2 linked regions of the Tribolium castaneum genome follow. The main gene of each other region encodes a partner of the protein of the gene in region 2 in a complex. Links are inferred from orthologs where the notes say so. Each region holds a gene or a part of one and is shown on either strand. Other genes may lie near its edges. The genes, in order: eIF3l and eIF3b.

Evidence for each region.
Region 1: eIF3b (region 2) and eIF3l share a complex: the UniProt entries of both Caenorhabditis elegans proteins name them as parts of the eukaryotic translation initiation factor 3 (eIF-3) complex. The link is inferred for Tribolium castaneum from reciprocal best matches to the Caenorhabditis elegans genes eif-3.B and eif-3.L.

What each region holds. Positions count from the first base shown.
Region 1 is NC_087394.1:32,523,524-32,535,853, reverse strand, and holds eIF3l (eukaryotic translation initiation factor 3 subunit L), read left to right. Parts: upstream 1-6,454; 5' UTR 6,455-6,538; coding exon 6,539-6,577; intron 6,578-6,714; coding exon of another isoform or gene 6,715-6,742; exon of another isoform or gene 6,743-6,797; coding exon 6,798-7,061; intron 7,062-7,188; coding exon of another isoform or gene 7,189-7,318; exon of another isoform or gene 7,319-7,573; intron 7,574-9,552; coding exon 9,553-10,767; intron 10,768-10,814; coding exon 10,815-10,949; 3' UTR 10,950-11,001; downstream 11,002-12,330. Other genes in the region: iPLA2-VIA (85/88 kDa calcium-independent phospholipase A2), read right to left, coding at 1,146-2,422, 5,403-5,705, 5,755-5,845, 5,892-6,096, 7,189-7,318. UniProt on the Caenorhabditis elegans protein: Component of the eukaryotic translation initiation factor 3 (eIF-3) complex, which is involved in protein synthesis of a specialized repertoire of mRNAs and, together with other initiation factors, stimulates binding of mRNA and methionyl-tRNAi to the 40S ribosome.
Region 2 is NC_087399.1:10,626,621-10,638,166, reverse strand, and holds the end of eIF3b (eukaryotic translation initiation factor 3 subunit B), read right to left. Parts: intron 9,699-11,546; coding exon 8,863-9,698; intron 6,020-8,862; coding exon 5,717-6,019; intron 5,515-5,716; coding exon 5,420-5,514; 3' UTR 5,145-5,419; downstream 1-5,144. UniProt on the Caenorhabditis elegans protein: RNA-binding component of the eukaryotic translation initiation factor 3 (eIF-3) complex, which is involved in protein synthesis of a specialized repertoire of mRNAs and, together with other initiation factors, stimulates binding of mRNA and methionyl-tRNAi to the 40S ribosome.

The sequences.
Region 1 (12,330 bases), on a different chromosome or scaffold from region 2:
CCCAATAGAACTAAATTACGAAATTGTATTTCATTTCAAAGAATTCTTTGGTGTGACATTAATACTTTTTTAATTATTTACCATTTTTAGCCCTTGGAATGTTTTCAACCACACCACGTTTCAAAGGGAAATACGCTACAATTTCACCTCGAGCACATTTTGTAGATAACTAAATATTCCTTCTTTAAAGTCCTTTTTAAAAAAATATACAAATCGTAACGTTTCTGACGAATCAACCGGTAACATTAATTGTATAAACCCCTAGTAAACTACGCCAATGCACGCGCTATAATGGACCATTTCATCGATAAATATGAACATCGCGAGAGCGCTACGACGAGTCAGCTGATCGGTTGTGGCCTCATGGCCACCCCATAAAATTTCCTCACACTAATTATAACGCAACAATTTGTTGATGTAGTAAAATAAAATATTTTATTTGAATTTGATTTTGTTCACGAAATTAACGAAATTTATAGGAACAAAACGAAAAAATCAACAAAATTTGCGGCCATGAAAATAAACTGCTACTAATTTTTTTCGCAAAAAATCAAACAGCGAAAATTTCCAGATCTTGACTGGATGTAAATGATGAGATAAATAAAAATTTCATTTTGTCTTACATTACTTACTTACCTTATCTTATTTTTCTAATTTTTGTCTGTTGAAATCGTTGTAAGAAAAAATACGAACCACAAATTAAAAGCAGTATCTTTAAATTGAATAACTTGGAGTGTTATAAATATCACAATAATTCTTTCATTAAATACCTATTTGAACAATTAGTTTATTTTATTTCGATTATACTTTTCAAAATAAAAAAATCTCATTTCGAAAATTTAACTATAAACAAATAGGAACTGTAATTTTCTCAGTCTTCTTGCCAAAGTTAAAGTTGTGTGTACGTTAAAATCTGCATTCATTGACCTCTTGCAAAAAAATTAAGCTTCAAGATTTATCCAGAAAGAAGGTATAGGGATGTAAACACAAAATTTACCCAGTTTTAGTTTCACAAAAATAAAAAAAAAATTCACAAGTCAGACTTTGGGTAGACTTTTTACGACAAACGCGAAACCCAAAAAATCGCTTTTCGTATTATTTTAGCACGTAAAAAATTGAGAATTAAAGTTTGTAAAAACACTGACCTGAAATAAGTGGGAGCAGCCCCTGTGGCCCTCCCAACCTGCCACACATACTGTTCTTCGGGCGGTGGCGGCAACTCATACGGCGAATTATGCTCCACTTGCAAAATATCGCTCGGACTTTGATAATTCCTAAACAAGTGCAACTCCACCGGTTTTCTATCAGCCAGCACCCCCGTAACCATCACCTTCGGATGCGTAATATCCGCCATCACAGTCTCGGCCCCGAACGTTTCCTTCAAAACATTCTCCAGCGGCTCACTAGCATACGGCCTGATCCCCACAAACGTCAGCTCCTTAATCCGAAAATACAAACACAGACACTCCTTCATGGTTTTACCACTCGCAATCCCCAGTGCCAGAATCCCCCCAGTGCTAGTTCCCGCAATCCAATCGAAACAATGACTTACAGGTTTCTGTAAAACATTTTCAATTTCTAGCAGCATTTCCACCAGAACTAGGCCCCGAATTCCGCCCCCGTCCATGCACAGGAGCCGCCCATTTTTGGGCATTTTCCCATCTTTGTGTTTTTTTGAGGCGATTTCCATCGCTGCTACATCGAGCATTTGGTTCAGAACGTCACGGTTAGTGGGGCCGATCACCGGGGGCGGTGGAACCCCGTCGAAGGTGCCCCCATGCACGCACCCGTCGGTGCAGTAGGGCGTGCCAGGGGGGCACCGCTGCGCCCCCACGGCGTGCAAGTAATACAAGATTTTCGGCTCTTGCTCCTTTGTTATAACATGTCTGGGCGAATGCCCGGCATTGTTCAAAATATTCAAATCGACGCCGAAAATAATCAAGCACTGGATTATCGATATGTTGCCTTGTTTCACAGCTAAATGAATCGGTCGGTTGCCTTCGGCATCGCCGATATTTGCGTCTGCTTGCCGACTCAGTAAAGCTACAACGCATTCGAGGCGATTTCTCATGACCATGATGTGCAAAGCGGTTTTTTTGTCGAAGTTTAGAGAGTCTATGTGGCAGTTCATGTCGACTAGAGCTTCGATTACTTCGCGGGAACAGGCCCAGTGTAAAGGGGTGCCCCCCATTTTCATGTCCTCCTTGTGGAGGCTGTTGGGGTGGCTTTGGAGGTAGTCGCCAACGTAGCCGGGTAGGACGTTGTCGTCTATTAGACCTGAGGTTTTGTTTACGTCGGCTCCGGCCAGAAGGAGGGCTCGGACGCAGTCGGGTTTGTCCGCTTGGCAGGCAAGGTGCAGTGGTGTGTAGCCGTTTTTGTTGCGGGCGTTTAAGCAGTTTGGGGGGCTGCCTTGCGTCAACGCCTGAAAATGTTACACCCTGTAGTATTTCGTTTCAATTCTTTATTCAACTTTTGTAACGAAACAGTGATAATAAAACATTAAGTAATAATTAAAAAAATTTAATTGTGTTATTTAAAACTAGAATCTGATATTTACAACGTAAAGTGTTAGTAAAGTTTAGTGTTTTTTGCGTTACCTATTTTGTTTTTTTATGAATTAATTATTTGTGCTAGATAATCACTTGTGATTAAATAACTACAGAAATAAAAATCCACAAAGTTTATTTATGGAACATTTTTGCATTTATATATTTTATTTTTATAATACGTTAAAATTCAATTAATTTTTTTTAAGTTTGTGTAACATTTCATCGAACCAAAGAAAGGCCCTAAAATTACAGCGAGGAACATTGTAAATTTTACGATAGATCAATTAATTGTGTCTCTAAATTGATGTGGAACTAGATTTACTATTCTGAACTATTTTCTTAACAAAAATTCTTGGAAAGAACTTGAAAAATGAAGGAATATAACTACGGGTCTGTATTAAAAATTGATAAATACTTTGAATATTTGTTGTCCTAGATTAAACTACATAATAAGTCTGGACGAAAAAAGCTAACGTTTAAATGATGAAAAAATATACACCGTTCACGATTGTTTTAAATTCGGACTATCTATGAAAATCTGACATTTTATTTGGCAGTACTGTGAGTTGTCATAAGAAATTTATTTTGGGTTATAATTGATGACAACCAAGGACTGTTGTCAGTTTGCTTCGTTTTTTAAATAAATAATTGAACACGTTTTTATTGTAATTCTACTCAGTATCATTAGTTAAAAAAGTCGGGTCTGTCTTTCTTGCATCCTTCAAAGCATCTTTTGATACAAACTTTCTTATCAACAAAAATTATTTTCGACATTTTAAATTAATAAGCAGTAGAACTGACAACACAGCGAATTTTTGACAAGACAACGTCATAAAGACAGTACCTGACAGGACCTGAGGCCAACCTAAGAAAAATATATCTAGGCCTGCTGAGAATTTAAAACAATCGTGAACGAATAATAAGTACAGTATTATAAAAATGACAGTAAGTCATAAACAATCTCTCAAAAATCTCAAAAAATTGTATTCTTTAATAAAAAAGAAAAGAAAAGGCTAAAGAAGAAGTTTTCATTTGATTTTTAAATAATCAAATAATTTTTATACAAATTATTGTTGGAGTTACGCTTGATTTTTCATGAGAATCAAATCCAATGAAATAACTATTTATATACCAAGACAGGAAAAACATCGATTCTTCCCCGAAGATGAATTAATATTTAAAGGGAGAAAAAAGGCGCTTTCTCCAGTGCTATATATGTTTTTTTTGGCGTCTTCATCAAAAATTATTTTTTTCACCTTCCAAATATTCTATGATAGAACGTTATTTCCTCCCGAGAGAGGAAAATGAGGGTCGTAGGTGGGAAATGACGTACTTTCATGAAATATTCGGAGAGTGGAAAATGATTTTTTCACCAAAGATATTTATAATTTTTCAGATTGGTTTTGTTATATTGATTTATTTAATTTTATAGTACTGTGTATGAAAACTATTATTTATTTATTTACTTTATTACAAAATTATTTTTTTAAACAGATTTTACATTTATTTGTATTCTTCAGTCTACGGAGTTTAAGCAAGAAACGCTTTGTTCCAAAGCTTTGTTTCACTCTGTAAATACAGACGGATTCAAGTTGTTGCCAAATTTTTAGAATCAACAGAGAAAATGAAAAATCGTTCTACTTCTACGTGAATTCTATTCGTTTTCAACGTCAAAACCACTTCTATAGAAAAACTTATTTATCTCTAATCGTAGTTTGCACTTTCAAATTATAAAAAAATGTGCTTACATCGAAAGCAATTCAATTATCTCAATGTCTAAAAATATTAATATCTTGATTTTCTCAATTGATTCTATAAATTTGGTAAACAAGACTTGAATTACTCTCTAGTATAAATAGTTTTTAGTAGCCTTTTCAACTACTTGATTCACTCACATCGTTAAAAGACTAAGTTCCACTTTCAAAATTAGCTAGCTTCAAGAAAGTAAAAATTTGCTTCAAAATCGTCTGAAAAGTTTACAAAAACAAATTGAAATAAGAGAAAAACGTCTTTAACAAAAAAATTTTCAGTAATTTTCTTTACTGTTACTCATGAGAAAAGTATTACTCAAAAAATTGTCCGTGCACCATTCTTATAAAAAATGCAAACTTGTTTTAGCATTTTACAAAAACATATTCCTACAATATAGCTAATTAAAGCAGTGTTGTCTAAAAATTAAAAAACCGAATTTGTTCAAAGGCCTTCTAAATCGGAAGTTTGATAGAAAAGTAACGGATGATATTAGGATTTTTTAAATAAAATTTTAAACAATAAAAAATTCTTGAATAAATGTTCATTTCGCTATTTATTTATTTGTTCATTTATTTTTTATTAATGTTGTACTTTAAAATTAATTAAAATGTTCTTAAACCAACCCATATTGTCACATTTTACGAGTAACCTGAAACACTCGTTGGAAACGTTAAAGCAATGCCTATTAATTGTTTTTCCAATAATGTCCTTATTTGTAATACGAGTACAATCCATTCATTGATAAAATTAGGTTCCCTAAAACTAGTGATTACTTATTAGGTAAACTGATAACTTTGTTTGTCTCTAGTAGGTTTTAATAGAAATAAACATCTCGTAAATAAAATGTCAACGTTTGACCTATGAACTTTATAAATGTGTTCTCGTTTTTTATTATTTACTAGTTCAATGGAATTTTTCTATACTCTAGTGTAATATTTGATATTTTCCACATAACACAAACGAAACAATGCTCAATGGAAATGACCAAGGCCTTTACAAATGTTAAACTAAAAAAAGGTATTTAAAATCGTCAGAAAAAAATCTTTAGAATTCCTTATGTACAACTTTTCCGTATCTAATTTTGCACAATTCAATACTTACGGCAATGATATCTTTGGTGGTGCTAGCGGCGTAATGGAACACCGAATCAGAGTTGTAATCGAGATGTTCCAAAGACGCATTCGCAGCAACCAAAACTTGCACCGTCTTCAAATTCTTCGTGGTAATAGCAACTTGTAGTGGCGAGATCCCAGTTTCATCATCAGTACTATTCAAATAATTGTTAATCTTAGAGTCTTTAAAAGAATCATAGAGACTAAAATACGCCGCCAAATGGGCCAAGTTCCAAGAGGGGTGTTCCGCAAGAACGTCACAAATCTTTTGCAAACCTTGCACATTATACATCTGAAATAAAATTCCAAATAATCGTCTTTTAACAACTACAGCAAATTACTTCTTTCGAAATCTCAACAAACGTGGGTAACTTATCCTTCAAGACACAAAATTTCACTTCAGCTTCGTCAAGATTTGGCGAGCGGTATAAACTAAAAATTGATTTTTTTAACAGTTGACGTGTTCGGGGGCACAAACCTGTAGGTTTGGTGTAGGCTTTCCGTGTACGGGCGATGGAGCACAATTTCGTAAGTGGCCCCTTTTTTCTTGTCAACTGTATTAGCTGGGAGGTAGAGGACCAATCCATCTTCCCGTAGGTGAATCGCTCGGTCGGAAAAAGCGTCTGATTTGGCGTCAATCACTTTGGTTGGGGCGGGTTCTGAACTGAGGAAGCTACGTAAAACTGCAAAATGAAGAATAATATTTGTACCATCACAAAGCAGGGGATTACCACTTGTAAATCCTTGGGCAAACATTTTATTACTTAATATCTATTCATACGGTTACGAACACTAATCACTCACTGAGATTGACTACCGATCATTGTGTTTTATTTAAGAAATTTGTGATTTCATAGTTCAAGGTTTGTTCGAACGAGCAATTGGGGAATGAGGTTAAATCACCGGCTCAGTAAATTTGCATTTAGATTAACATCATGTTTATTGATCGTTTTATTTTAAAACATTTTTCTCACTTACTCAGCGGAAATACTTTTGAAAATGAGAAAAAAATGGAATTTCTTGCACCACCTCGAGTAGAAACCTGTAATTTGTAATTGTCAAACGTCAACTGGCTTCGAGGTTAAGTGCAAGACCATTTGCTCGCTATAGTGGCGTAGGCATATAATGAGTAAATTCAAAATGTTTTCCGACGATTATGAGCAAGTGAGTGCTTCAAACACCTAAAACTTGAACAATTTATCCTTAAACCTACACTGGGTTCTATAAAACTCTAGTAAAAGCTTTGCAAATTGAACCATGTGTCTCAAGCCTATTTGTAAAAGTGTGGAAATAATACCGACCTACATGTTTAGCATGCACCATTCCCATAATTCGTGGCAGCAAAATTGACAATAAATTGGACACTGATTTTCATTTATTTCAGGGTTATGAATACAACAGCTATGATGAGTATGGGGCTCACACAGGAGACCCCAACTTGGACAACGAGTACAATAAACAGCACCTAAAGATGCCGGAAATAGTCAAAAACTTCCTAATCTATTTCCGCAATTGCGTGAATGAGGGTTTAATCTTTGAGTTGCAAACTTTGTATGAAACTTCGTGGCCAAAACTAACCGAAGATTATTTCGAGAAACGCCCCTGGCCAGAAGAGTCAGAAGTGTCAGCGCTAGTCGACAGTGATCCCGTGAGTAAATCCATGACTATTTTACCTTCCGCCTCGATTTTGTCTTTCACTTGGTCTAGTATTTTACCCCCAGTTTCACTCTCCTGGACATCCTTAATTTTTTCCTTTACGTGATCAATTATTTTACCTTCTGTGCCAATGTCTTGGACGTCCTTGATTTTCTCCCTAACGTGTTCACTTTTGTCTTTGAGTTCTTCAGAGATTTTCTCTTTGAGCTCTTCTTTTTTGCTCAGGAGTTGCCTTTTGTAATGCTCCATTGCGACTGTTGGAAGCAGTAGCAGGGAAAAATGAACATAAATGGGTTTTATTATGTCTTTAGCAAAAGGACACGTCAGAAGCGACCTAATTACAAAGAAATCGCTCAATATCTATGATTCTTTGATGTCTATTGATTGTAAAGTTTTTGCTTAAATATTTATTTACGCAGCATGGGCGAAAAAAATTGGTTTAAAATAATAATAAATACGACTTTTGGTTTTGGACTTTAATAATGCGATGAATAATATTAAAATAAATAAAAATAAATAAATAAAATAAAAATAGATTTAACGACAAAAAATAAACTTTGAATAAGGTGCTTACAAGGTCATATCTTTTCTAATACTATACAGTTTCGACGAAATTCTAAATTTCATTTCATTTAAAGGTAATCGATTTCAAAATAAATAAAACAGCTTTTTCCTACATTTTTTTGAATTAGGAGTATACCAAAGTCAATAATAGACAAATACATTTCCAATAATATTTTTTCTCGAGGCTTGAGACTTCTTGAAATAAATCATAAAATTTGCTTATTAAACGAATTTTTGTTCTATAAATAAGTAAAACGCTTAACCAAGTAAATTGCATAAACAAAAAAAATTATGTTATAATCAACTGAATTAACAGAACTGTCTTCACAATTTACTAAAGAATTAACTTTGAGTATTTACCAACGAAAATTTGAATACAAAGTCTTAATTAGGCCCAAAAAAATCGTGAGAATCTTCAAAGTAGATTATTTGTTGTCCTTAAAAACTCATGATAAGATAAATAAATTGAGATCTCAACGGGAAAACTATTCAACTGTTCGTCTCTCTTTTGAAAAATAAAATATGCTTTTAAAAATATAAGAAAATCAGTGATAAATCGTAATAAATAGACGGTACCTCAAGCATTTTCCTAAAAACAATGTTTAAATTAAACCTAGGTACAGAATTTTGTTGCATAAATAAGTAAAATCGTTAATCAGTCATTTAGTTAACAAAAAAAAAAACATGTAATGAACTAAATTAACCAGGAACTACCTCCACAATCTACTAATCATATTTCTGTCAACTTCTATTTTCAAATGGCCTATCTTTTTCAAAAAGATAGTAATATTTAAAGTGATGAAATTAATTGAAATGAAAATCGTTATAAGTAATTGATTACCGACTGGACGCGTATTCGCCTAATAAAAATTGAGTTTAAAATAAGTATAAAAATCTGTGAATATTTTCGAAAGAACAAAAATATTTACTCATAATAGAAATATTATGAATGATTTTTTTACGGATTCAGGTAATACTGAGGGAGTGTATACCAAATACAGCGTGCTCAAAAACTGGCGCACCAACTCAGTGGTGTGTGGTAGAGAACTGGTTACATATAAAGGTAAAAATAGTAAAAAAAATCTTTGTATTACTGTTATTGATAAATAACTAATTTTAGGTAAATGATATGTGGCAACGTTGTCTAACAGTCATGATTGCAATAGAATTTGAGCAACAATAAAAATAAATTATTTTTGAAACGGTTTCCTAGGAAATAATTCCCAGTGTTGGCACATCTACACATTGTGATTTTTTGGATGAGTTTTAATTTTTTTTAATTAAAAAAACTGCTAAAATCTGATAGTAAATTTTAAAATAATTATTCATTGTATTGTTACGGAACGATAACCTGGTATGAAACATAGAAATATAAAAAAATAATGAAAACTAAAGAAGTTAACACAATAAGTTTGTAGCTCCAGATTTTTTAAAATATAACTTTAGAAATTTATTCAACATTTTTCCCGTAATCTGCACTTGCTTCTCAATAACGTACCACTGAGTTGGTGCGCCAGTTTTTGAGCACCCTGTATATAAAAAGTAGTGAGATTACGGACGGGACACAAAAATTTATCTTACGTAACAATTTTATTATAACATGAAAACTTTAACCAAAATAAAAAAACAACTAACAGTCATCAAAAAAAGGAACACCATTCTTGGGAAATTAAATTACGTACGTTTAACAATTAATATTTTGTCCCAAACCTATATATAATTTTTGAATTGTATTTCAGTTATTTGACACTATTTATAGGAACATAACTTCCAATTTGAAAACGCTTGATTTTGTTCACGTATAGAATTCTCTACCATTATTAATTATTAATTTTTTGGGTTCAATGATTACAAATACGTGAAAATTATTATTTTCACTTACTTCTTGCGGGAAATATCCTATGCAACCCTTCTTGCAGGTGTTCATGATCCTGTACAAAGAGCTCTACTTCCGCCACATTTACGCGCGCATTCAAGGGGGCCCAACCCTCGAGCAGCGCTTCAATTCGTTCTACAATTACTGCGACCTCTTCAACTACATCCTAAGCGCTGACGAACCGGTGCCTCTAGAACTCCCCGACTTGTGGCTATGGGAATTAATCGACGAATTCGTCTACCAATTCCAATCATTCGCCCAATACCGGGCCCGCCTTCAGAAGAAAACCGCCCAAGAACTGGAGACTCTAAACTCGCACAATAAAGTGTGGAACGTACTTTGCGTTCTGAACGTGTTGCATTCTCTGGTCGACAAGAGCAACATCAAGCAACAACTGGAGGTTTGCGCCAGTGGGGGCGACCCCGATTCGGTGGCCGGCGAGTTCGGGAGTCACTCGCTCTACAAAATGTTGGGCTATTTTTCCCTGATTGGGCTTCTGAGGCTTCACTCTCTGCTCGGGGACTACTACCAGTCGATCAAAGTGCTGGAAAACATTGAGCTGCATAAGAAGTCGCAGTATGCGCACATCCCGGCTTGCTTGATCTCAACGTCGTACTATGTGGGGTTTGGGTACATGATGATGAGGCGCTATTCTGACGCAATTCGCACGTTTTCGTCCATTCTCTTGTACATTCAGAGAACCAAGCAATTGTTTGCTTCTAAAAGTTATCAGCACGACCAGATTAACAAGCAAACGGATCAGATGTACCACTTGTTGGCCATTTGCTTGGTTTTGCACCCGCAGTGTATCGACGAATCGATCCAGCAAACTCTGAGAGAGAAAAGCTACCATGAGAAAATGTACAAGATGCAGTATGGGGACCTCCAGGAGTTTGAAAATTGTTTCGTTTTCGCTTGTCCTAAGTTTCTTTCGCCGTGTCCTCCGCCGGTGGATTCCATCCCTGATGATTATTCGAAGGAGGCGATCCGCCACCAAACTCAAGTTTTTATGGACGAGGTCCAGCAACAAAAAATGTTGCCAACGATTAGAAGTTACTTGAAGTTGTACACCACTTTGCCCATTGCCAAGTTGGCGACTTTCATGGCGCAGAATAAGAACAGTGAAGGGAAGTTTGATGTTGATAAGGAGACGCAGAATCTTTTGATTCATTTGTTGTGCTTCAAGCACAAAATGAAGAATGTGGTGTGGTCGAAGGGCTCGTCGGGGCTGGAAGGGAAGCTGGAGAGTGGCTCAGAGGTAACATTTTGTAATTTTTGGTTTTGTTTCGTAAAAAAATATTTCAGCTGGATTTCTACATCGATAATGATATGATTCATATCGCCGACACGAAAGTGGCGCACAGATACGGCGATTTCTTTATAAGGAAAATTCTCAAGTTTGAGGATTTGAACAGGAAGCTTCACAATCTTAAATTCTAATGTAGAATTCGGTGTAATTTTTGCACTCAACGAATAAAATTGCTTAAAATAACTGTACTTTTCTTTTTTTCCTTAGCCACCTCAGTCACCTTTGTCTATACAAATTTGGAACAGGTATTAAAAATTTCACCTTATCTTTGATCACTATCATTTAACAAAGTTTTTTATTGATGCAAGATAAATCAATTAAACCTCTTTTATCTTTTAAGTATCATTGAGTTTAATTAGGCATTTATATTCAGTTTATTATTCGTTTGCAACTGAAATGGATAAATAGTTTATTACTTAATATTTTTCTAACTTTTTGGAAACACTAGTGAGAAAATTATTTCTCAACAAAAGCGTGAACGCAAAATTAGACTTTTATAAAAAATAATAAACAAAATTGTTTCCTTTTCCCTCACAGATTAGTTTAACTTTATATTAAATATTTGTAACCGAATCGATTAATTTATTTTATTCTTCGACACTGTCAAAATTTACGGTTTTTCTCCTGTGTAAGGAAGTTTTGACAACTGTTTGGCATTTCTCAGTACGAAACGTCAGATTATTTTTAACAAATTTAAAGCAATTTTAAGCCTTGCTGAGTCTATTTCGAAGAATAAAATGTTGTATTCAACTCGTTTTTGTGTAAATCGGTTCATTTATTTCGCCTCGTGGATGATAAACCACTCGTTTTCACTCGTGGTTTAAAAATCCACTCGTGAAATAAAGCGTCCGATTTACACTCAAACTCATTAAATAAATAACTATTACAAAAAAAAATTAAGTTGAAATAGAATGCCTTAGCAACGCACAATTTTGATTCATTTGCTTAGATTTAAAATTTTCCGTTTTGAAACTTTATTTAGAGAAACATTTTTTGTATAAAGAAACACCGTCTTGTTTCCGAAAAATACATAGAAAAAATTCGAGGCTTTGTTATCAGCAGCAGCAATCACTCGTAGTTGTGACTTAATACTTGAATGCGAAATTTTTATTGTAAAAATTCTCTTATCACTTATTGTAAAAATGTTGCATTTGACAATGATTTAGCATTGCTCATGTAGTCACAGTTCTAATTTGTGTAAAATTCGCTCAATGAACAAGTATTGCAAGTTAGTTTCACGTCTTAATCAACACATGCGCATAAAAGATATTTTAAAATTTTTTGCGCTCAGAAGTGAGTATATTTTATTTTTTATGAAATAAGTGCGTTCCATTCGATTCGAAAACAGTGGCAAAGAGATAAATAAAACATGAGTCATTTGCAATTAGAATTGGTCAAAACACGTAACTGCAAATTTTAATTAACTTTTTTAATAATCTAATAAGTAGTAGATAAAAATCACGGTACAAAATTACTCATGCGCTCTGCTGATTATGTATTCTGCATATGCTA
Region 2 (11,546 bases):
AGCCCGAAATTTTTTTGAAGCAACTCAATCACTTTTTAAAGGTAACGTAAGGATATTAAAATATTTGATGCTTCTTTTAGTGTGTTTTCCTCAATATTTCAAAAACTATTAAAGATAAAATTACAAAATTTGGTACAGTTGAGAACCTTTATACGCCTAATCGAGTTCGAGGGTCAAATGTATTTTTTTTTATCAGGTGGGTTCTAAACTGGGGGGCTGTAAGGTAAAAAGTACAAAAACAAAATCTTAAATTCTATAGTTTTTTATACAAAAATAATCTCTTGTGTTGTTTCGATACAACTCGCCATTTTTAAATAAAATTAATTACCAAATTTTCTAATTCTATCTGCAATGGTTTCTGAAATAGTATGGAAAGTCCTTTCAGGGCTCCCTTACGAAATATTTTTCGATATGTTTATAAAAAACTTTTTGCTTACAATTGAATGTTCTATCAACTGTTTAAATTTGTAACAGTAAAGATGGAACATCCTATACAATCTGTTACCAAAAAAAAACGTAGTAGTCGGATGTCATTTAAAAAAATACTTTTTTGAATAACTCGAAAACTAAAAAGAATATGAAAGAAATGTATTCTAAGTGACAATATTTTTCTTGACTTTGAAACTTCCCATTTCCTAATTTCAAAAATTCAAGAATTTCTCACCTTTTTGTATGTTGCTTAATAGTATACGACAATACACTTTTAAAACCAAGAGGAGAGAAAGGAAACCATCAAATTATGTAGCATTGGTGTGTATTTATCAGTTGGAGGCTGCAGTTGTGTGCGATACAGAAAAAAATACAAAATATCCCGGAACTAATAAGCCAAAATTTGTAAATCCTGGAATAAAATCCCCCACAGCCCCATATTCCATCCTGCTGGCTTTCCGTTGTAAAATCCGTCCTGCATAAACACACAATATGATGGTGGACGAGTAAATCCTGCGAGGTCATACTGCGGATATCCACGCCGGTCCTTGCAATGTTGTATATAAGCAGAAGAAGGCAATTTCCCGACTACCCATTGCAGTACAGAGGCCTACTTAGGGCCCGCTCATAAAAACAACCATAAACCGCGACGAGGAGGTCCCATAAATGCGAAATCTTAAGATAAGCGAGCCGCTTTTTACCGGTGAGTCGCATAAACAAAGCCCTTCAACGACAATTTTGTTCCGGATATATCACTCCGTTTTCTGCATTTTCCCCGGACAAGGATAATGGCCGGGAGCTAAACGGCAAAAGCAACTCTGTTTATTATTTTATTCGAGGCAAGTCGAGGTAGCTTGAAATTGAAAACAATAACGATAAAAACATTTTAAAGTTGATGACGAAATCACCAATGGTCTGAGTGAAACAAAACCAGTGGAGAAACTAAAAGTTTTGACAAGATAACAATCATTCGGATTATGGTTCGAATCAACGGGGTCGTAATCAGATTTTGCGGTTAACAAAGAGAAAAACAATTACTGAAAAAATATTTTGGAACAAAGTCAAACTCAAATTTTTAAGTTTATGAGCCGTTAACTAATTTTTTTTAAATTTGACAAAGAAAATTTTATTTAAAAATGTAGATACATTTTTAAAGGATTTTCAGGTTTACAGGTCAAATCCTTCGGGCTTTCAGTTTATTTGTGTTTGAATGTTTTAATTATTTTGTTTCAAGTTTCTTTAATTTTTTAGTAGGGATTTGGATTAGCTAGTTCGAGATTATTTGCGCATTAATTAACTGAACTGCGAATGGAGTAATTTAATTAATTCATATAAAAATCACCGAATATTAAAAATTGCTGCAATTTACCTGGAAAAACTAAAACTAAAAAAATAAACTTTGGTCATAAATCGGAAAATACGAGTTGGTATATCAATCTAATAAAGGGTGTTTCACATAACTTTACGAGGCCTGCGCCCAATGTACGAACCCAAATATACAAAAGTCACAAAACATTGTATACAAAAAATTCGCATTTAATTATTTAATTTTTGGAAACCCATAACAGTAGTTGTCAAACTAATAAGTAATGACTGGTTTATTAATAGTCATAAAATGCTATTTTCCTGAAACAGTTATCATGTGATCTTTCAAGAGACGGAATGAATATGATTCTAATCTATCTATCAACAAACTATAAACAAACTAAAGAAGACTATCCAATTTTTTTTAAGTTGTAGTCCAGTTCGTATCGGAATATGTACATAGGCTTGGCCTCGTAAAATTATGTGAAACACCCTGTATTTCTGAGTTCTGGTTCTTCAAAATCTTGAAAATTTTAATTTTTTTAGATTACGATTTTCTAGTTTTTTTTACATATTTTTAAGTTGCTCGGTTAAGGTTTTTTAAAATTTCGAATACAGTACTACTAGGCTTTTCAGTTTAATTTCGGGTGCAACTAAAATAGTTTAAGTTCTAAATCCGAATGCAACGGGTACTCATTTCAACGGATACTCAATTCTGAAAATTCACTAAGTTCTGATTGTGATTGATTTTATTAAATTTAGATTTTTAAGTTTTTTCAAGTTTATGAATGAATGCTCGACCTAAATTTTAGATTATCTACAAAATCCAGGTTGCTTAAACTACAACAATGTTTTATGTTTATTAAAATTGTTTTAAAAAAGAAAGTTTCAGTTGCAATAAACTCCTATAAAGAAGTAGTCTGAAATTGAAAAACCTAAAAAACTCACAAACGATAAACAATTAATACAAATAAACAAATCTTTGTTAAAAGTACACAAACGTCTCGAAATATGAAAAACCTATTCCTTGAGTGACAATCTTTTTAATTTAAAATGTTACATTCACCACAAATTGCAAATCTAAAAATTTCCACTGATGTGGAAATGATGAGGTAAAAAATCTCACAGATAAAAGTTTTACTTTTGCGCCTAAGCATTTTTACTTTTACGAATCTACGTAATTTGTACTTCCTCACACTAAAACGAATAAAAAACGATCTTTTACAAGGTACTGTATGAGAATACAAAGAATGTTTAACAAAGTGTAGACAGTATGTGACAGTATGTGTGGGAATATACATATACTCCCGAGAATCCACATTATGCGACACAAACAACAGCAAGGTATTAAAAAAAACTCTCTCGATCTTTATCAATTTATCTAAATACGTATGCGTCGTCGGAATACAGGTGAATTTATGTGGCTCAGCAAAATAAACGTTAAGGTTCCTCACATAAAGTATAACTTTTACTACGGCTGGATAAAATTTTGCATAAAGTATCGATACTTTAGCAGATATCAAAATACATACTTTTAATTTCCGATACTTCAATACTTGCAATACTTCGATACCTTCGATACTTGATACTTTCGAACTGTATTCGTTTATTGTTTTTTGATGGTGAATTTGTAATATAGAATCGATTTTAAACTACAAACAAACATCGTTTGAAAATATTATGTGTCATTATCACCAGGTGGAATTCTTTCTGTGCTGTTTGTTCATAAGAAAAGTCGGTATGAAAAATAGCAAGGAATAAAATACCAAAATACCAAATAGCTCCCTTACGAAATATTTTTCGATACATGCTTATAGGAAACTTCTGTCTTAAAATTGAATGTTCTATCTTCTGTTTAAATTTGTAACAATAAAAACGGAACACCCCGTATAGAAAAGTTGTTGTATGTGGTAAAATTAACACACGTATTTCTGATACACCTTGTATATACCTAAATAGAGGTATCGACCAGCCATAACATTTACTAATAATAACATAATCTACTATTTATTAATTCTCGGCCGAGTTCTCAACTATGCAATGAATGTTTTTTAGTCTAAACCTATTTAGTTTTTTCAGACTTTCTTTTAGCTTTACAGACTTATAAATTTACTTTTAGAATAATTAACTATAAGTTTATTACTACTAAAATTAGGACGTCAAGTTTTTAAATATTGATTATAAAATATAATTTTTGCTAAATCACAAATGTCACAGACTGCCTCGAATTAATACTATCAGCGTTTGTTGTAATGTAGACCACCAAAAATCGGCTAACATAAATATTTAGTATCATAAAAATGTTGATATATACCTACCTCTTTTCATAAGATCTTTAAATCTTCACCATCTTCATCGCTTTAGTTTACTATGATAATGTTATCACAAACATAGGAAAAGTTATTTGGGCTTAAAATACATTCATTTGTTGGCATTTTAAAGCAAATAAAATGTTTAACAGTTAATTTATTACAGAAATAGCGAGTGCCAAATTAGACAGCAAGAATAAATTAATTTCAAAATGTTGTAGAGTATATTAAAAAAAAACTTTACAAGTGACAAAATTTGTCACAAAGTTGTTGGTGATAAGTCTGATAAATAACTTTGTAACGTCGTATATTGTGTAATTATAATAACGTAAGTATTAGATTCAGCATCGTTGAAATATTTGATAATAAAAATTTAATTTAATAATAAAAACAGGCTGTATAAATAGTTAGATAAGTATAAATAAGTTACGGGCAAAAATAAACATCTTGCTCCAAAAATATCAAAAAAGGCAGTTCATATAGCAATTATGGAGGAAGCAACCATACATTTCGAAGATTGGCATTAATTTGTTTAAATTGAGCGCTAAGTTGCCAATTTTTTAAAATTCTCTCATTTTCGACTCTTTATTTTATTATTATACATCCAATTCACAAAAGCGCATAAAAAACGTGCTGCTTATACTGTCATGCCTCCATCCCCATGTATCACAATTTCAGCCAAAATTCAATTTTACAACAAATCGCATCGATTTTCCACCACTCAAACTCGCACCACAAACACATTTTTCCGAAATCGTGCAACACAAGGATATCGTGTATCCAAAAGTATCTTTTACGCGCAATAAAACCGATCAACCTTTTATGTATTTTGTTTTATTATTTTCTTTAGCAGCACGTGTCCCGGATCACACCGACAACTTGATACAGCATTTTTATATTGGCAGCAATGCACCACTGCTTAGTAAATCATAGTGACCCTACTTCTGCTGACATTTTTATAGACTTGTATATGAGAAAATTGATGACAACACTGCTGGAACGAACCTAGAATTTTATATAGTCCTTAGACAACAAATCATAAAGTTACGAAAAGGCTAGATGTCGCCACTTGTGGTGAGTTTAGGAAGAGAAAAAAAAACATTTGTCATATGAAAATTTATTTTCCAAATAACCAACAGACAGTTGAGATTAGTATCGTACATGGTTAAAATTGACCCACCTAAATAGAATAAAAAATTAAAATATAATGGCAGCTGACAACAGAAAAAGATTGAACGAGAACCTACTAAATAAGATAAAACACAACAAATTGGTGTAAATTTTCTTATTTAAGGCTGTTTATGAATTCACAGTCACTATAAATCCCGTGCACACGTTGAATGCACACAGGAACCAACACTTCAACCTCAATTGTCTTAGTCCAAAATGGTTGTTTCCTCTTTAATAAAGAATTCTACAATTTCTTCTTCTACGTTTTGTGGGTCGGCATCTAATTCATCGGTATCAATATCTGGAAAAAATCAAGCGTTAAAAAAACTGCAAAACAATTAGAATTAAACATTGTCACATGTTTTTGCAGTTAAATAAACTGTAACTGAACGCAAAAACATGTTTTAATTTCCCCTGAGCGTATAACTAACCACACTACAAATCAGCGTGTCAGCAAAAAATCAGGGTAACTAACAACTACAAAATCAAATTAAAACACTCACTATTTCTAAGTTGAAGTCGTCTTTGCTTATTCTCGTTATATTCCTTAATCCTTTTACTTCTGTATTCGTTAAACTCCTTCATTAAAGCGGCACGTTTTTCGATAAGTTCCTTTGAAGCTTTCGATTGTCTCATTCTGTCTTTGCTCTCAAACTGTGGATAATACTTTTTGAGGTTCTTTTTGATTTCTTTCTGCTTTTCTTCAGACAATAAAGTTGCAGGTCGTGGACGCCACAACAACTGGGCGAATTTTTCCAAATTAACACGTTTCAGGATTTTTCCTTGGAACGACCAAATCCAATAACCTGAAAAGAAAAATTCTCCGATAATGATTTTGAAATGAAAATATTTAATTCTCAAAATCGTTCACGAAGTAGACCAATTTTCAATATAAACGAAAAAGGTCCTTGTAAGTAAATTAAGTTAGATTAACTTTAAGAGGATTTAGATGAATTAAAATTTGTATGTTTTTGTGTCGGAATCTATAAAAAAAAAACATAATAACATCAACCTGAGTTATTATTTTTTTAACATTTTTTAAAATTTATACTTGTATTGTAAAATAAAGTTTTTTGCTAAATTTCAACAAAAAAGGACGAAAAATTAGTTATTCAGTGCATTTTTTAGTCTGGAACGTTTTTGTTTCACAAGGCGTTGTTTAAGATCATTCAAAAAATCGCCAAAGTGTTATTTTTGCTTTTTGATCCATAGTTTTCCTGTAATATTTTGATAAACATATCCAAAAAAAAATCCTAAATTAGATAAAAACGTCATTTTCGTGTGTTCAAAGAAATTTAGAACCATTTTCAGCAAAAACCGGAATTATTAGTTCGATAAAAAACCCAAAAAATCACCAAGTTATGTCTAAAGGAGTGTTATCTTTTTGTTTTTTAAGCATGTAAGTATATTAACCGGGCCGAAATAAGATCAAAAATGAGATTATTTTTCTGATTTCAAGTGTCAGTCAGAAACGTGATTATTTTGGGTCAAAAATTATTCGAAAAAATTGCTGAATTTCCCCTTTTTTAAGTCAATTTTTAGTTAAAATTACATTAAAGTGGCGTTAATTTTATCCTTTTTAGAAAAGAAACCACCATTTTATGTCAAAAAATGCATTACTTCTGTTTCTTAATGTTTCAGCCCATTTTAGAAAAACCCCAATTTTTTCGAAAATTTAGACATGTTTTTCAGCAATAAATGCAACAATTTCTCGAAATTGCGCCAAAAACAATTAACTTTTTTAAGGAAAAGGCTTGTGAAATTTCAACACCGCACAGTGCGGTGCCTCTTGAACAAATAAAATGTTTAACGGTAAAACAAAATTAACTTTGATTTGGCGTATTCCAGTGCTTAATTACAATTTAACAGCTCCTAAAACAAACTTGACCGATGAAATGTGTCGAGTTACCAACTTTTTTCAGGGTAACTCAGGCGCTGTTAAATGTGTCTTCGTCAAACCATGCAATGTTGTTATTTTCTGTGATCCTCTTTTGTCTGTTTTAATGAATTTGTAATTATTTTATACGAAACATAAGTGCTGTACATGTCTATTTTATCTGTAAGAACAATAAAAAATATGAAAAAACAAAAAAATCACCTACTTTTCAGATAATAATTAATAATCATACGCGCAGTTAAATAAAATCTTAGCAATGGGTGTAGCTAGAAAAGCTGAAAATATAACCCATTTTCTATAAAACACTAAAATGTGCAAGCCTTGAATTCTTTGATGAAGGATTGCATCCAGAAACACGAAAACGCGAGCACAATAGAAAATACAAAAATACAGATATACACAACACTCCATCCGATTTTACCTTTATTTCGGTCATTCCTTTTTTCTACAATGTCAGAAACTTTCATATTTGCAATAAAGGCCATTTTTTAATCAACAAGTTCTAAATGATCAAATTTTATTTAAATCTTCGATCATATCTTCACTTTTTTTTACGTAATATGAATGTTTGGCTTGTGTCTCGACTTCTTTCTCTCGTTTTTTCAGTCGTTTAAATTTTAAATCTGTTTAATTTTTTACCTCTATTATTTTATAATCTTCGATAGAAGACGCGGTTTTACTTTATTAATTGCTTAATCAATTTTCCTTAAGACATAAATATCATGATTAGGATCTTTCAAACTAATCTTTAGTTTATATGATTTTATTATTTTTTATTTTGTTTTCCGTAACCTTTAGTTATCCAATAGATGTCATGTATCCATGTTCAAGTAGAATAGTATTTGTTATGAATTTTATAATTATTAGCCTCCACTTTGTCTTGTTTCCTTTAATATAAAGGTCGTTTTATTTTAAAATTATGATTTATACTATTTTAATATAAACATTTTTGTTAAATGTTTTGAATTTTAAACATGTGACTAATTCACCTAATGATACTTTACGTAACTTGACAAAAAATTTGTCAAGTTTGTTTATTCATTATAACTTTCAGAGTACATGTAAAATAAAAAAAATTGAAAGTCAAAAACAAGACAGCAAATTTTCTAGTAAACATACCCTTCATTTGAGGAATCACAATTGAGATCATGCTTTTCAATCTTTTTAGGGTGTTCGTATTTGAAAGTGCTTTAAAAGTGCACCAAAAAGTCTCCCCTTGTTAATAAAAATTGACCTATTCAGTAATTTTCAAAATTTTCTTTTATTTTCTGAGAGCTCGTTTAGAAAAGCACCTCGAAAATAACGGATTTTGTTAATTGACCCAAAAGCTGAAAACCAAATTTGGTTAAAAATGTTATTAGTTTTTTTGATTCACGGTTCATCGTCTGTTGTGAGTTTAATTTGAGTAAGATTTAATTATTTATTAGGATAACAGACACAGTGCAATTTATTTTGGTTTATTTATTTATTGTTAAACAAAATAGTTCCCCTCCTCGTTGTTTCTGCACGAATGGTTTGCTAATTATTTATTGCCCTAAAGAAGCCCCCCTCATAAAAACTGGCAAAACGTTGGTAGTAATAAACAAAAAAACAAACAAAATATACTGCCCCTCTCTACTATGCCCCCCCCCAAAAAAAAAAACGATAATCTGGGAAAACCCCCGCAAGAATAATTCATTCAATTCAACAATACTTCAAATTACAGAGGTTCGGTATCAATTTCTAAATCAAGCTTAAAAGCCAAAAACCCACCTGTATCAACTTTGGTTTTCCAGTACGAAACGGACGTCGTGACGTATCTTCCCGTCGGATCCCACTCGACATCCGACATTTGGAAATGATCCGTCGTATTCATAACCAAAAACTCGTGCGTATCAACAAACTCCAATGATCCACCACCATTCGATCCCAACCCCGCCAAAACAATAAACTGGCCTCCGGGCGACCAAAACAGGTGATTACACGCCCTTTTCTCGAACTTTTTAAGCAGAATTGGGGCTTGTCCCACTCTCACTTCGTAAAAACTGACATTAATATTCGGCGATTCTCCATGTATGACCGCAAACTTCGATCCGACCGGTTCCCAAGCGAACGCCTGGATGGGTTCCTTACTCTCGACGCTATCCACCGGGATCTGTTTTTCCCTCATGTGGAAGATCTCGAAGTTGCAGTACATTCCGCTGTACTTCGTCTCATTTTTCTCTTTGCGAACTTTCGAGTAACGGTCGACTTTGACGCATAGATAATCGCCAGATTTTTGCCAGTGGATTTTGCAATCGGCGACGTTGAAGAGGTTCTTCTTGCGGATTTCGTTGCGGTTGGGGATTTCAAGGAGGGTTACGCTGGCTGGAACGTCTTTGTCTTCTGCCACCCAATAGGCGACGATGTTGTCGGTGGGCGACCAGCTGAAGTCGCGGATGCCGCTGATTTTGATTGATTTTTTCTCAAGGAGACCGAACGAGGGGGTTTCGTAGATGGAGAGGACGTCGTTGCCCACGCGTCCGAAGTATTTGTCGTCGTGAGACCAGCGGAAAATCGGCCATGAGGAGGGGCCTTCAGGGTTGAAAGAACGCTTTTCTTGGCCAGTTCTGCAACAATTAGTTAAGAAGTGTTTTCAAAAAATTATATAAACTCATGAGTTTAGACATTTAATTTTTTTTACTAAAAAGTCAGGTTTTAAAGTGTACACGGTTCACATTTGTAAAAAATAAGCTTAAAAATATCTGTGTGGAAATAGTATATTAGAAAACAAGTTTCATAAAACCAGTCTTGAAGCACGAATTCAGTTTTAAAGAATAAGTACTTCAAGGTTTTATGAAACGAGTTTTTTTATACTGTTTTGTGTAATTTGTCCCCATTTTGCACTTTTTGTTATTTTAATCGATTTAGGGATTTTTAAGCCAACTGGTAATGTCTCAATTTTGAAAGTGAAAAATTGACATACTTTTTTTTGTTTTATCCAAAGCTTTAACGTAATACCACATTTAACTTCAGTGCAGTTCTGCCAACCTTCGAACATAATACAAATAATATGTGCAGTGGCGGACGCGAAATTTTGGACGCCTATGACATTTCGTTGACTTAAACGTATGGAATACTCCATACCTTTCGACTACGAAGTGACAGAAGTGCTCAAAATTCCGTATCTGCTACTGTACCATTAAGTATTTAGTAAATAAAATTTGTAACTTTTTGTTTGAAAAAATTGAAAGAAACGGTAAATTTAATCAAAGATCAGGTTAGTTATGCCAATGATTTATTATTATTTAAATACAGAGTGTTAGGTAATGGCTTAGCAAAAATTTAAAGATTTATGTAAATTTATGTAAATCAAAAATGCATGGTTTTTCAAAGAATTTGTTCTGAACTTTTGTTCTCAAAATTTGAGAACCGCTGAACTAGAATTATAAAATTTAGCGTAAATTCTAATAATATTGGCAAAACAGCTGAGCTAAAATAACTTGTTGGTTCACTACGTTATTCTTCTATTTCAATTTGTGTTTTGTTACTAAAGTTTACGAAAAAATATTTTTTTTGCCAAGACCGGGATTCGAACCTTCCGCACAAATGAAAATGTTGCCTTATTTAATGAAAAAAAAAAATATAATAATAACCGCTAATAAACTACCATAAGCCCAGTGGCTCTCAACAGGTGGGTTAATATTTTTTTTTTAAAGAAAGTACGCACCTTTTGGAAAAATTATATAAGGGTTTTTAACTCGTCTGATCATGACAAATTCACTTACACAATATTGCTAAGCCATTCCCTAACACCCTCTACATAGAGGGTCTAAAGTACAGCATTTCCGTCAAATATAACAGACGTAACCAGGGTATACATAAGTGTTAAATTAAAATCAGATTAAAAAAAATTAATAAATATCCATTTCCAATATTTGGATTCCCATTTGAAGACTGTTAAAAAATTCAACAGTTCTATTTTTACCGGAAAACAACCCTAAATTTCGTAAAAAACATTGTGACTTGATGAAAACCTTAGCAAAAAAGTTTGTTTCGTTTAAAACTACACAGAAAAAACCTCTAGTTTTGACCAATTTATTTTTTTGTTAAAAAACAGTGAACAAAATTTTCATGAGGAATTTTGAGCATATTGTATATGAATTGCCTATGTAATAGTACATTTTTATAGAACTTTGTTTATTTTTTTTCCAACCCTTAAACCAAGGTTACAAACAATGTTTAAAATAAAATAATAACTAATTTCTGAGGAGGAGGATCTAATTGAGGGATCTAGTTTCAAAGTGTACATCCTGCTGGTTTATTTTAGAATACGAGAAAAACTCGTCACATTGAAAAAATGTTTAAAAAATAAATAAATAATACCGACAATTGTGTGAGTTCATATTATCATCTAGAGAAACAAATAAATTCAAAGTTAAAAATAGGTTTTATGCAAAAAAAAAAACTAAACTGAC